Nothobranchius furzeri: one gene and its partners. Each later gene encodes a partner of the first gene's protein in a complex. Links are inferred from orthologs where the notes say so. Each region holds a gene or a part of one and is shown in the gene's direction. Other genes may lie near its edges. The genes, in order: thoc6, thoc7 and chtopa.

Region 1 (3,752 bases):
CCATTGTGGCATTAACGGAGGGGTGCCAGCAGTCAGGGCTAGGGGGCCCCCCATCATAAGGGGGCCCCAGGCGGCCGCCGACCTATGCCTAATGGTAAAACCGCCACAGGCTGTGGTGTTTCGTTTACCTGTGTCCAATAAGCATTTAAAGCTCCTGTCAGACTTTACAGTTTACTTATTTTTAAGTTTTAAATGTTGCACTGCAGCTTAATGTTTTTTTTTTTTCCATAAAATGAATTTTTAATCACTCACTCATTCTCAGCAAGACTTTTTATGATGTTAAACTATTAATTTTAATACTAAAACTTAATTTTTCAACAGAAAAAGGCACACATTCCACATTGTGAAATGCTAAAACTTCAAATTAAAAGCCTCCTCAGCCTATTAAGACATTTTATTCTTAGACTTCTGGTGTGTTCAGCCGTGTTTTAATGTGAAAAGCATGAATGCCATCCTTCTACTTTTTACTTTAATTTTTAGGTGGTTTCAGATTAAATGAGACAGTTTCTAACAAATCCAAACTAGTGTTAGGTGTGTTTTTGATTTGAGGTCCTTTAATCTTCATCTGATTTGAGTTTTTGTCTCTTTTGCTGCAGCTCATGAAGGTGCAGTTTTCAGTCTTCTGTCCACAGACTGTGTCCTGCTGAGTGCTGGAAATGGAGAGATCAGTGCCTGGAGCTGGACTGAACTCATCAAGAAGGTAACGCTACATCTGGTAGATAACCTGTACAGCAGCACAGCTTCACTTGTGAAATGTTGTGAACTTGATGTCCTCAGAATGTGAAATGTCTTTGGACGAAGAGGCCCAACTATAGGTGAGGACATCTCTCCTGCCTCCCGTCCAACCTGAAGGTCACGTACTAATGCCTCTTCTGGTCTTTTGGCAGATCAAGTCTGGAGATCCCAGAGATTAACTCCATGGTCATCAACACCCAAGTGAGTGAGTGCGCGCGCGCACACACACACACACACACACACACACCTGCTCAACAAAACAGAGTTTAAGAACTGACTGAAGAGGATCTGATATGGAAACATCTGGCCTGTGTGTGTTTCAGGACAACAGTCTGGTGATTGGAGCTGGAGACAACAACGTCCACATCCTGGACCTGGAACATGGAGACTTTAAGGTGCATCAGCTTCTCTGCTTATTGTCTTTGACTAATGAAACAGCATCAATGCTAAAGGAAACTCCCGACGTCACAGAAATCATTTTACTTTGCCTAAACTAACTGTTGGCGCTATTTGGGTTACAGTGATCCCTCGTTTATCGCGGTAGATGCGTTCCAGACCTGGCCACGATAGGTGAAAATCTGCGAAGTAGGGACACCATATTTACAGTACAGTGTCAGAACCCAAGTTCCCAGGCCAGCCTCTTCCAGCTAGCCGGCCTCCACTATGGACCAAAACTCCCAGCATGCCCCTCGCGGGGATTCCCTCCACGTCGCATCTACGTCACAAACCGCGGCTATAATCGGAAGTCGCCTTTCCAGCTCACCACTCAGTCATCGTTTCTTCATATTCATGATCAGAGTTTCCAACCTACTGATCCATCCCACGAACTATCAGCTCATAGTAAGTTATCTTACTTACTTCTGGAAAGCCCGGCATTTCCTTGTCACTTCGTTGATGCTCGAACGCTCGGGGGTTTCCTAGATTAATCGTGAGCCGGCGTTTCACCGACGCTATCTCTTCCGTGTCTGTGAAACCACGCTCCCTACAAGCTCAACTCCCGAATCCAGCCGACCAGTCTGATATACAGTACTATATTGAATTATCGTATGATCACATTCTCTTTTTGTGGGTAAAACTCAAGAAAAAAAATTTTTTTTACTTGTTTTTTTTATAGTTTTATTACAAAAAGTGCATTTTATGATGAAAAAAAACAGGAATTTCTTGATATTTCGCATAGAAAAATACCGCGAATCGGCGAATTTCCCTTGAATAAGTCTCCAAAGAAAAAATCCGCGAAGTCGTGAATCCGCAATAAACGAACCGCAAAGTAGCGAGGGATCACTGTACTTACAGTTGTTGGGTTATTTATTGGGTTTAGTTGTTGGTTAATGATGATTTAATTTATTTATTTTAGTTTTGCCTGTGAGAATCAGCCAGGAACAATAAATATGGGGACTGGTGTTAGACCAGCATGCACTGGGGTAGGCCTATAGTTTTTTTTACCAGAGCAGGAGAAGCGGCAGGAAATGAAGATGTGCATCATACTTGACAAGTTGGATGAATAAACACCAAAAATATTCATCAGTTAAGATTGTTTGGACATTGGACTTTTTTTTGCCTGCGTACAAGATATCACTTGAGTGCAGCAGGGACCCAAGGATTTAAAACCCTCAGGAAAATCGCCACTAAACTAACCTCACACAAACATGTCTGGCCTATGTGTGCAGACAGCCCTTCAGGGTCACACAGACTATGTGCACTGTGTGTGTGTGCGTGAGCGGGAGTCCGAGCTTCTGTCCGGCAGCGAGGATGGATCTGTGAGGATGTGGGGTGAGTTACAGCAGCTGGGTAGGCCTTCCTCAGCAGGTGATGGTGATGATGTTGTTGTTGTTCAGACACCAGGACGGGCCAGTGCGTTCACTGCATTGAAGTCTACAAGTACGAGGTGAGAGCTACATGCCAGTCAGCAAGGATCACCACATTGTGAGAATATGCTGAGTGTGTGTGTGTGTGTGTGTGTGTGTGTGTGTGTGTTTCAGAGCTGCGTACGGCCTCAGTACGGTAAATGGATCAGCTGTGTGACCACAGACTCTGACTGGATGGTAAGAAAACAGCAGCTTCAGCTGATCAGGACTGTGTGGTACCGCGCATTAACAGCTGCAGGTCTCACCTGGGAGGACAGTTTTACACACATGAGTTGTTTTTGTGTCCCTGCAGGTGTGTGGAGGAGGTCCGTCAATGTCTCTGTGGCACCTCCGCTCTCTGTCCCCAACATCCGTGTTTCCCCTGAGCGGCTGCCAGCGCCAGGCAGCTTTCCACCAGGACATGGTGAGACACAATGGCCCACTTCACTCAGAGTGGAGGACAAACAACAATATGTCTGTGTCTGTTGTGTAGATCCTGGCAGTGGGGCAGGGTGCATTTGTGTCTCATTGTCTTCTGGGTGGAGATGTCAAAGCTCAGATCCCATGCACACCCTCAAGTCTCAACACTCTGCAGCTGAACAACAGCTCAGAGCACCGGGTGAGTCCCTGAACGTAGCACAGCAGGTTCCTAACCGGTGTGAGGAGCACCTGGTGAAGGTGTTTGTGTTTCAGGTGCTGACGGTGGGAGGTAGCAGCAGCCACATTGACGTGTTCACCAACCTGTCCTACAGAACCTTCTCACTCAGCTTCTGAACTTTCCTAATAAAATGTTTTTTACAAACAGTTTTTGTCATTTAAATGATCAGAACCAGGATCTAATCTGGCTCAACAACGTGGTTCTATAAAAAACGTATAATCCTCTTCTCTCAATCCAGCAGACAAAAATCTCTCCATCACAGGAGGAAACTGTAGCTTCAGCTCTTTAGAGGACTGCGTTTCTCTCAGGGCTGTCCCTCACAACTCCTGCTGGTGAAGATACTTGAGCTTTTCTTTTCTCAACTGGTACTTTTTGTTTTGAGGTCAAAAACTTTCGGACATCTTTCTCAAGCTGATCTACATTTTGGAGTGAATGATTTATAACAGGTTTTTAATTAGAGCCTTAAAGATACAAACTAGCGTCTCCTCTTTCCATAAAACTATATTCGTAACACA
Region 2 (3,226 bases), on another chromosome or scaffold:
GACCCACGTTTCCTCTTCGGGCTGTGCCCGGCCGGGCTCAGTGGGTGAAAGCCCAGCCACCAGGCACTCACCAATGTGCCCTACCTCCAGGCCTGGCTCCAGAGGGGGACCCCGGTGACCCACGTCCGGGTGAGGCAACACGTTTTCCATTTATATAATTCATCATACGAGGTCTTCGGGCTGCTCTTTGTCTGATCCCTCACCTAGGACCTGTTTGCCGTGGGTGACCCTACCAGAGGCAGAAAGCCTCAGACAACTTAGCTCCTAGGATCATTGAGGCACTCAAACCCCTCCACCACGCTAAGGTGGCAGCCCAGGGAGAGGCTATTTTCTAATCCTAATCTAATCCTATTTGATATGTGCCATATATTTCACATATATGTCTGTGAATTTTAAAGACACGTTTTGATGTCAAGAAAGTGCTTATTTTTGAACAGCTGCAAAAGTTTAGGGTTTTGTGTTAAAAGATGTGTACAATGCCTGTCCAGTATGGGAAGCTGGTGACTGGATGCTGAACCATCTTGCTAGACCAGCATTGTATGCTGATCTACCACTAAACCAGCACCAAACACAACATATGCTGTTTTTATGAGCAGGGCTTTGCTCATACATAATTGAGGCGTTTTTTTACACAGCAAAAAGTGATTACAGCATTCATTTTGCCTTTGAAAAATGTATTCTACCGTAATTCAATTTCATCACTTGATTGTGTAATTTGTAATTGATTGTGTGATAAAAAAACCTAGTGGTATTACTAAATTGCATTTAAACTAAATCTCTGTGTCACATAATCACTGTAATCACTGTATACTTAAAATCCACATTATTTAACGAAGATGAAGCGAAAAGATCACAACATGCAGTAACGTCCTCTTACCAGATAAGGCAGTAACGAGCTCAGCTGTGTCTGAGTTGCCTAAAGACAAAAGATCAATCAGTACCAGTAGAACGGAAGTAGTAGAAGAAGAAAAACAGCAACATGGGAGCTGTAACTGATGGTTTGTGGCTTTATCATTAACTAATTTCAGCACTTAAGTTACTCTTTACTTTTGTTTTCGTCTAAGTTTAAAACATTGTAAATTGCGCCTTATTATCTGGAAAAATACCCAGAAATGCTACCTGTAATAGCGACGTTAGCTAGCACACTTAGCATAGATGCATTATGTTTTCAACGCTCTTCAGCTGCTTTATTGCATGTTCCACAGATGAGGTGATTCGAAAACGTCTTCTCATTGACGGTGACGGAGCTGGAGATGACCGCCGAATCAATCTGCTGCTGAAGAGCTTCACCAAGTGGTGCAACTCACCTTCTGGGACCCTAGAAGAAGGGTACGAGCTAGCAATATATCTGTCTCCAGTTTTTGCTTGTAACATCTTGAATGCCGAGTACACAACTGCAGTGAAATGCTGAACATTGGGCTCTTTGTGTGTAGATTCACTCAGTACCAGAGGATGGTGGCTACTCTGGCTCAGTGTGAGTTTTCTATGGGAAAGACGTTGATGGTTTATGACATGAATCTTCGTGAAATGGAGAATTATGAGAAGATCTACGCAAACATAGGTAAGATCGGCTTTGTTTTCAATGTCACAGAATTTTTTGTTAATTCTTTTAGTCATACATGCCAAATGGCCTGTATTTTATAGAGCTTTCTAGTCCTGGAACCCCCCACGGCGTTTTACAACACAACACAATCAGACATTTACACACACATTCACACACTGGTGGTGATGAGCTACATCGTAGCTACAACTGAGCGGGGCTCGAACCTGCACCCTTCTGATTATGGGGCGAGCACTTAACTCCTGTGCCACCATCGCCCAATTAACACTAATCAAACTTTTTTCTTTCGCACCTCGCAGAACAAAACATCACATCTGCACATGAGAAGATCACAGAATGCAAAAAAGAAATTCTGCGTGCCAAGAGAATACGAAAAAATCGCCAGGGTAAGGACATTTTAACATCTGTTGTATTTACAGAAAAATTACCAGATGTGGTATCAAATGTGCGTTGTCAAAAGGATGTAAACTTTTTTTTAAGTATCTGTTCTCTGTCTCTCCAAAGAATATGATGCTTTAGCAAAGGTAATCCAGCAACACCCAGACAGACATGAAACACTCCAGTAAGTCAGCCTATCGATAAAACATGTCAAGCTCCCCTTCATGTTCAATAAAGTGCTCATTTTTGTTTTACCTTCCAGGCAGTTGGAGGCACTCGATAAAGAACTCCAGCAACTGTCTCACATCAAAGAGAACGTAGATGCAAAGGTAAACTCAAACACAGCGGCCTAATGTTGTTAAAGTATCAGATTTAGTTGTATTTTTACTGACTTTTTATGCCATGTTTGCATTCTCTTTAGTTGGAGTTGAGGAAGAAGCAGTTTCATGTTCTTCTTACTACCATTCAGGAGCTGCAGCAGACACTAGAAAGTAAGTAGCCACTTGGTTATACAGACAAACTGTTGTCAGAGCTGCCCTCATCGTCTATCCTGTCTTTCCTAGATGATGAAAAGTCAGATAGTGACGACCACAGTCAGGAGAGTCCCATGGAGAATGGGGATTGAACACATAAAGAGCCCAACTGAAGGAGTCACAGCTTTTAATTGAAATTTAGTTTGTCTAAGAATCCTTTTTTGTATGTATTTTTGAATAAAGCTGTCATCTTGGAGTATATCTTTAATTCTTATATTCTCTTTTCATTAAAATAATCTCAGTAAAAATGTAACCAAAGCTTCCAGGCTTTTAAGAAAATCAACTGAAACTCTGATCAGAAAAGAAATTTAATACGCGTCAGTCAAGGACAGAACAGTTGTTGAACATTCATATGTGCTGTATTTTCTCTGGAAGTTTCTGCACTATAAGTGAGAGTTTGAATACTTGTAAAATCTAAGTGTCATTAAACCCAATTATCATTTTTTTCATACTAAATTATCATTTTTTCATACCAAACTATCAAATAGTTTCTGATTTAAAGTTCACAAAATTACATTCTTCTGAGAATAAGACGTCTGTAACAAGAATTATGGTTTTGCTCATTTATTTAAAAATGAATGCCAAAATTTACTGATGTAGTAAATAAACCACAATGAAAGAAAGCCTCTGACTTCCTATGTGAATGATCACTATGTACTTTGTTGCAAACCCCTGTAAATTGTTTTAACCGAACCATAAAGTCTAGAACAACATCATGCATGCTACAACAGAAAAGGGATTTAAGGTCTAGAAC
Region 3 (3,752 bases), on another chromosome or scaffold:
TTTGCAATGGCGGCGCTGTAAACAACAGCGGCGTCCTGACCAATCACAGGCTTGCGTAATCCGTCTCGTTCGACGGATGTTTAAAAAAGTGGGCTCGACTCCGTACGGACTTGCGTGCCTGCCGGATCCCTACGCAAGGACGGATAATGGCGTTGCGTGTCTCCGCACTGACGCAGACGGAGAAGCATAAATCAGGCTTAAAGCTGTGTTCAGTAGGGAAAAGGGCACAAGTTAGCAAAGGTCTGATGGGTTCTCAAGTCAGAAAGATTCTGTTCTGGTTTTATCAGTGAATTATCATTGAAACCAAACCCAAGCCTGACAGAAGATGCATTTGCTGTTTGGGAAGTACAGTCCTGATCAAAAGTTTAAGACCATTTGAAAATGGCCAAACGTCGTGTTTGTTTGGTTGGTCATTAACAAGGTCCCAAGTAGAGCTTCAATGTGCAACAAAAAAGAAATGGGAGTGAGACAACGATCAAATCGAAACGAGCTGCTTTATAGCTGATAAAAGGTTTAAAGAACAAGTTCACTGAGAAACCATTTTTATGTGTTATTTTTTTAAATGATTGGTCACTCTGAGTTTCACATGCAGGCTGAATATGTGAATAGTCTTCTACCCCTTTTTCCTGCATTAGCCGATAGAAAACAGACGAGGAAATTCTCAGGTTAGCAAAGCCAGTCAGATCTACCTCACAGTAAGTTAACATTCATGGACTCGGCCATCTTGGCTCAAGATGGGGAAGGCAGTTGTTGGTTTAGCATTCAGGAGAGACTAGAGCTTGCCTTGGCTAATAGAAGCTAACTGTTAGCATTAGCTGCTACTCTATACAGTAGAACTCATTCATTTATGGAGGTAAAACATCAATGATGCAAATCAAACAAGGTTAGTGGTAGAGTTGTGTTGCTGTTAGCCAATCAGGGGTGAGATGTCCAAATAGTCTTGTTGTACCCTTAAGCCGGGCGGACACTGTGCGACTTTTTCACTCGTAGCACTCAGCTTCAGCTCAAACTGTACGACTTCCTCACAGAGCAGATCTCACGAGTCGTGCGCTCACACTGCACGACCCAGTTCTCGGATGCGATCTGACTGCTCACGCTGTACGTCTGGTAGCAACACGTCGGCCCTAAAAATGTGCTAAAAATAGCAGTTTTTACACAACACGTCAGACTTTTTTGTCTTGTTTTGCCTGTTGTCCTTCGGGAGTGCTGCAGGGGGACACACAGGGATTTATGGGGGTTGGATGAGGAAAACAAAATAAAGAAAGTAAATCTGTGTTTTGTGATCAGTTTAATTTGACATGAACACGACAAACACGCTTTCTTGACAACCTTTGTGAGTAAAAAAAGTGTAGAAAATAAAAACGAACAACGTGTGTTATTAGGGAAATAGCGGGCGAGCGGTGTTGATGCATGCATGTGCCGTGAGCGGTTCTGGTACTTTTTGGGTCGCAGCTGCTCGCAGCGCCGCTTCAACAGTGCGATACCCTCACGAGGGACGAGCAAAATATTAAACACGCCAGAAGTCTGTGCGAGCTCACGATTGCTGATCGGTAGCTGGTCACGTGGTGTTAATCGCCTCTCGTAGCCCCCTGTACACGACGCTCAGCGCAAAACTCGCCCCGATCTCGTGGATTCTCGCACGAGTGGAAAATCGGCTCAAAAAAGTGAAAAAGTCGCACAGTGTACACCCGGCTTAACCTGAGCTTTCCACTGGATGCATAAGTGACGCGGTTCCTCACGAGCTCAGCGGTGCATATCGTCTCACCGGGAGATTTTCTGACATGAAGCGGCAGTGAATGTGTCACAGCTGGACCCACAACGTTACAAAATCACAGGAAAACGCTAGATCAAGCATGATTTCAGCGGTTCACGTGATAACAAGCATGGAGAAAGATGGTAACGGTATCCTAGCAGGTCTGTGGTGTACTTACTGTTTACCTCAGTCACAGAGGTTTTACAGGTAAATATAATAGAAGCTAAGTGCTACGTACTACGCTTTGTGGACATTTTGTGACGCTCGCGCGTCTGATGGAAAGCTGGGATAACAAGCTGGACCTACTCTTGCTTCGCTTTATTTGTGTTCCTGATTTGTTGCTGTGACCGATCCTTCTGAACCACCAGAGCCTAAAGCAACGTCTGGGGAAAGGCAACATCCAGGCCCGGCTGGGCCGGCCCATTGGGCCTCTGATGCGGGGTGGACCTCCTGGAGGAAGAGGAGGCATGCGGGGGATGACCAGAGGAGGCCTCAGAGGGGGTTTGAGAGGAGGGATCATTCGTGGGGGTCTGTCTTCTCTGAGGGGTAGGTGTCCGTCAGCGTGGAGATGGTAGGGGTGTTTCCTCTCAGCTGAGCAATCACATTGTGTTAAACAGCCAGGCGAATGCCTACAGGTGGACCTATGAGAGGTCGGGGGGGCATCGGACGCTTCCCCATGCGTAGAGGAGGTCGGCATCGTGGAGGAGTGGCAGGAAGAGGAGGAGTTCTGTCTCGAGGAGGAGGTCGAGGTGGAATGCCCAGAGGCCGGGGTAGAGTTTGTATTTATTAGTACAATCGTTTGATGACTCGTGTCTTTTTTTTTTTCACTGTCTCACTGATGATGTTCTGTCTTCAGGCCGTGGTGGACTTCGTGGACGTGGGGGATTTGCTGGTCGTGGGGGCCGCGGCCGTGGGCGGGGCAGAGGACTTGGCCGGCCCACCGTTACAAGGGAACAACTGGACAATCAGTTGGATGCGTACATGTCAAAGACCAAGGGACACTTGGATGCAGAACTGGATGCCTACATGGCCCAGGCAGATCCCGACAGCATGGAGTGACGGCCCAGCGAGACCAGAGCTGAAGACTGGGGCGTAGCGTCAAGTGGTGTTGCTGCACCCTGTTGTTTAGCCGTGCATCCACCTGCTGCTGAAGAGCCAATCAGCTGATGAATAAACTCAAGGGGACTTTGACCCTGATGTCCACGGACTTCCTGTATGAAGTTTTAGTCAAACAGGTGTTTGGTGTAAACTGTTTAGTTTTTCTTAGTTTTTCCTCAAACCTCCAGAGTTTCTTTGGCTCATCTTAAACTTGCAGTGGAAACGTTTTTTAAAATGATAATTTTACAAGAATTTTAAGACGAGTCATTTTCTCTTATATTTGACAGGGAAAGAAGTGCTCAGGCTTTGGGTTGTTTGTATTCCGTGAAGCTGACAAGATGTTTGTTTTAAAATTATTTCCCAAGTTGTGTTAAGGAAATAAAATGATGAATGAGATATTTTCTGATTCATGTCAAACATTTAAGGCCTGTAGGTGTTCTGGAGCATGTAGAAAAGCAGATGTCCTGGTGTGATCTTAGCTTTTGTTCTGCGATTGGTGCCCACAGGGACATGGTTTCCATGGCTGTGTCTCACTGGGAAAACGTCACCAGTTAGAAGGTTGGACGTTCAAACCTAAGACCTACAAACTTCTCTATACTACATCCTGTGAACCATGTGTGTGTGCGCACATACCTAAAGGATTATTAGGAACACCTGTTTAACTTAATGCAATTATCTAATCAACCAATCCCATGGCAGTTGCTTCAGTGCATTTAGGGGTGTGGTCCTGGTCAAGATAATCTCCTGAACTCTTAACTGAAGGTCAGAATAGGAAAGAAAAGTGGTTTAAGCAATTCTGAGCGTGGCATGGTTTTTGGTGCCAGACGGGTCGGTCTGAGTATTTCACAATCTGCTCAGTTACTGGGATTTTCACCCACAACCATTTCTAGGGTTTACAAAG

Evidence for each region.
Region 2: the proteins of thoc6 (region 1) and thoc7 are in contact, whole or in part, in a cryo-EM structure (PDB 7APK), measured with the Homo sapiens proteins. The link is inferred for Nothobranchius furzeri from reciprocal best matches to the Homo sapiens genes THOC6 and THOC7. Residues at the interface, in NP_001334633.1 of Homo sapiens: Asp229, Trp232, His245, Thr252, Gln268, Asp269, Gln284, Leu285, Ser286; in NP_079351.2 of Homo sapiens: Lys110, Arg113, Lys114, Gln117, Glu118, Ala121, Leu122, Val125.
Region 3: thoc6 (region 1) and chtopa share a complex: the UniProt entries of both Homo sapiens proteins name them as parts of the transcription/export (TREX) complex. The link is inferred for Nothobranchius furzeri from reciprocal best matches to the Homo sapiens genes THOC6 and CHTOP.

The regions. Positions count from the first base shown.
Region 1 is NC_091745.1:30,130,927-30,134,678, reverse strand, and holds the end of thoc6 (THO complex subunit 6 homolog), read left to right. Parts: intron 1-596; coding exon 597-700; intron 701-777; coding exon 778-815; intron 816-887; coding exon 888-936; intron 937-1,058; coding exon 1,059-1,130; intron 1,131-2,402; coding exon 2,403-2,505; intron 2,506-2,570; coding exon 2,571-2,620; intron 2,621-2,714; coding exon 2,715-2,777; intron 2,778-2,892; coding exon 2,893-3,003; intron 3,004-3,072; coding exon 3,073-3,198; intron 3,199-3,272; coding exon 3,273-3,353; 3' UTR 3,354-3,383; downstream 3,384-3,752. UniProt on the Homo sapiens protein: Component of the THO subcomplex of the TREX complex which is thought to couple mRNA transcription, processing and nuclear export, and which specifically associates with spliced mRNA and not with unspliced pre-mRNA.
Region 2 is NC_091743.1:56,272,689-56,275,914, reverse strand, and holds thoc7 (THO complex subunit 7 homolog), read left to right. Parts: upstream 1-892; 5' UTR 893-979; coding exon 980-998; intron 999-1,205; coding exon 1,206-1,329; intron 1,330-1,433; coding exon 1,434-1,561; exon of another isoform or gene 1,562-1,860; coding exon 1,861-1,947; exon of another isoform or gene 1,948-2,065; coding exon 2,066-2,123; exon of another isoform or gene 2,124-2,201; coding exon 2,202-2,268; exon of another isoform or gene 2,269-2,360; coding exon 2,361-2,430; exon of another isoform or gene 2,431-2,502; coding exon 2,503-2,564; 3' UTR 2,565-2,668; downstream 2,669-3,226. UniProt on the Homo sapiens protein: Component of the THO subcomplex of the TREX complex which is thought to couple mRNA transcription, processing and nuclear export, and which specifically associates with spliced mRNA and not with unspliced pre-mRNA.
Region 3 is NC_091751.1:23,238,921-23,242,672, reverse strand, and holds the end of chtopa (chromatin target of PRMT1a), read left to right. Parts: intron 1-2,121; coding exon 2,122-2,299; intron 2,300-2,370; coding exon 2,371-2,523; intron 2,524-2,609; coding exon 2,610-2,812; 3' UTR 2,813-3,247; downstream 3,248-3,752. UniProt on the Homo sapiens protein: Plays an important role in the ligand-dependent activation of estrogen receptor target genes. May play a role in the silencing of fetal globin genes.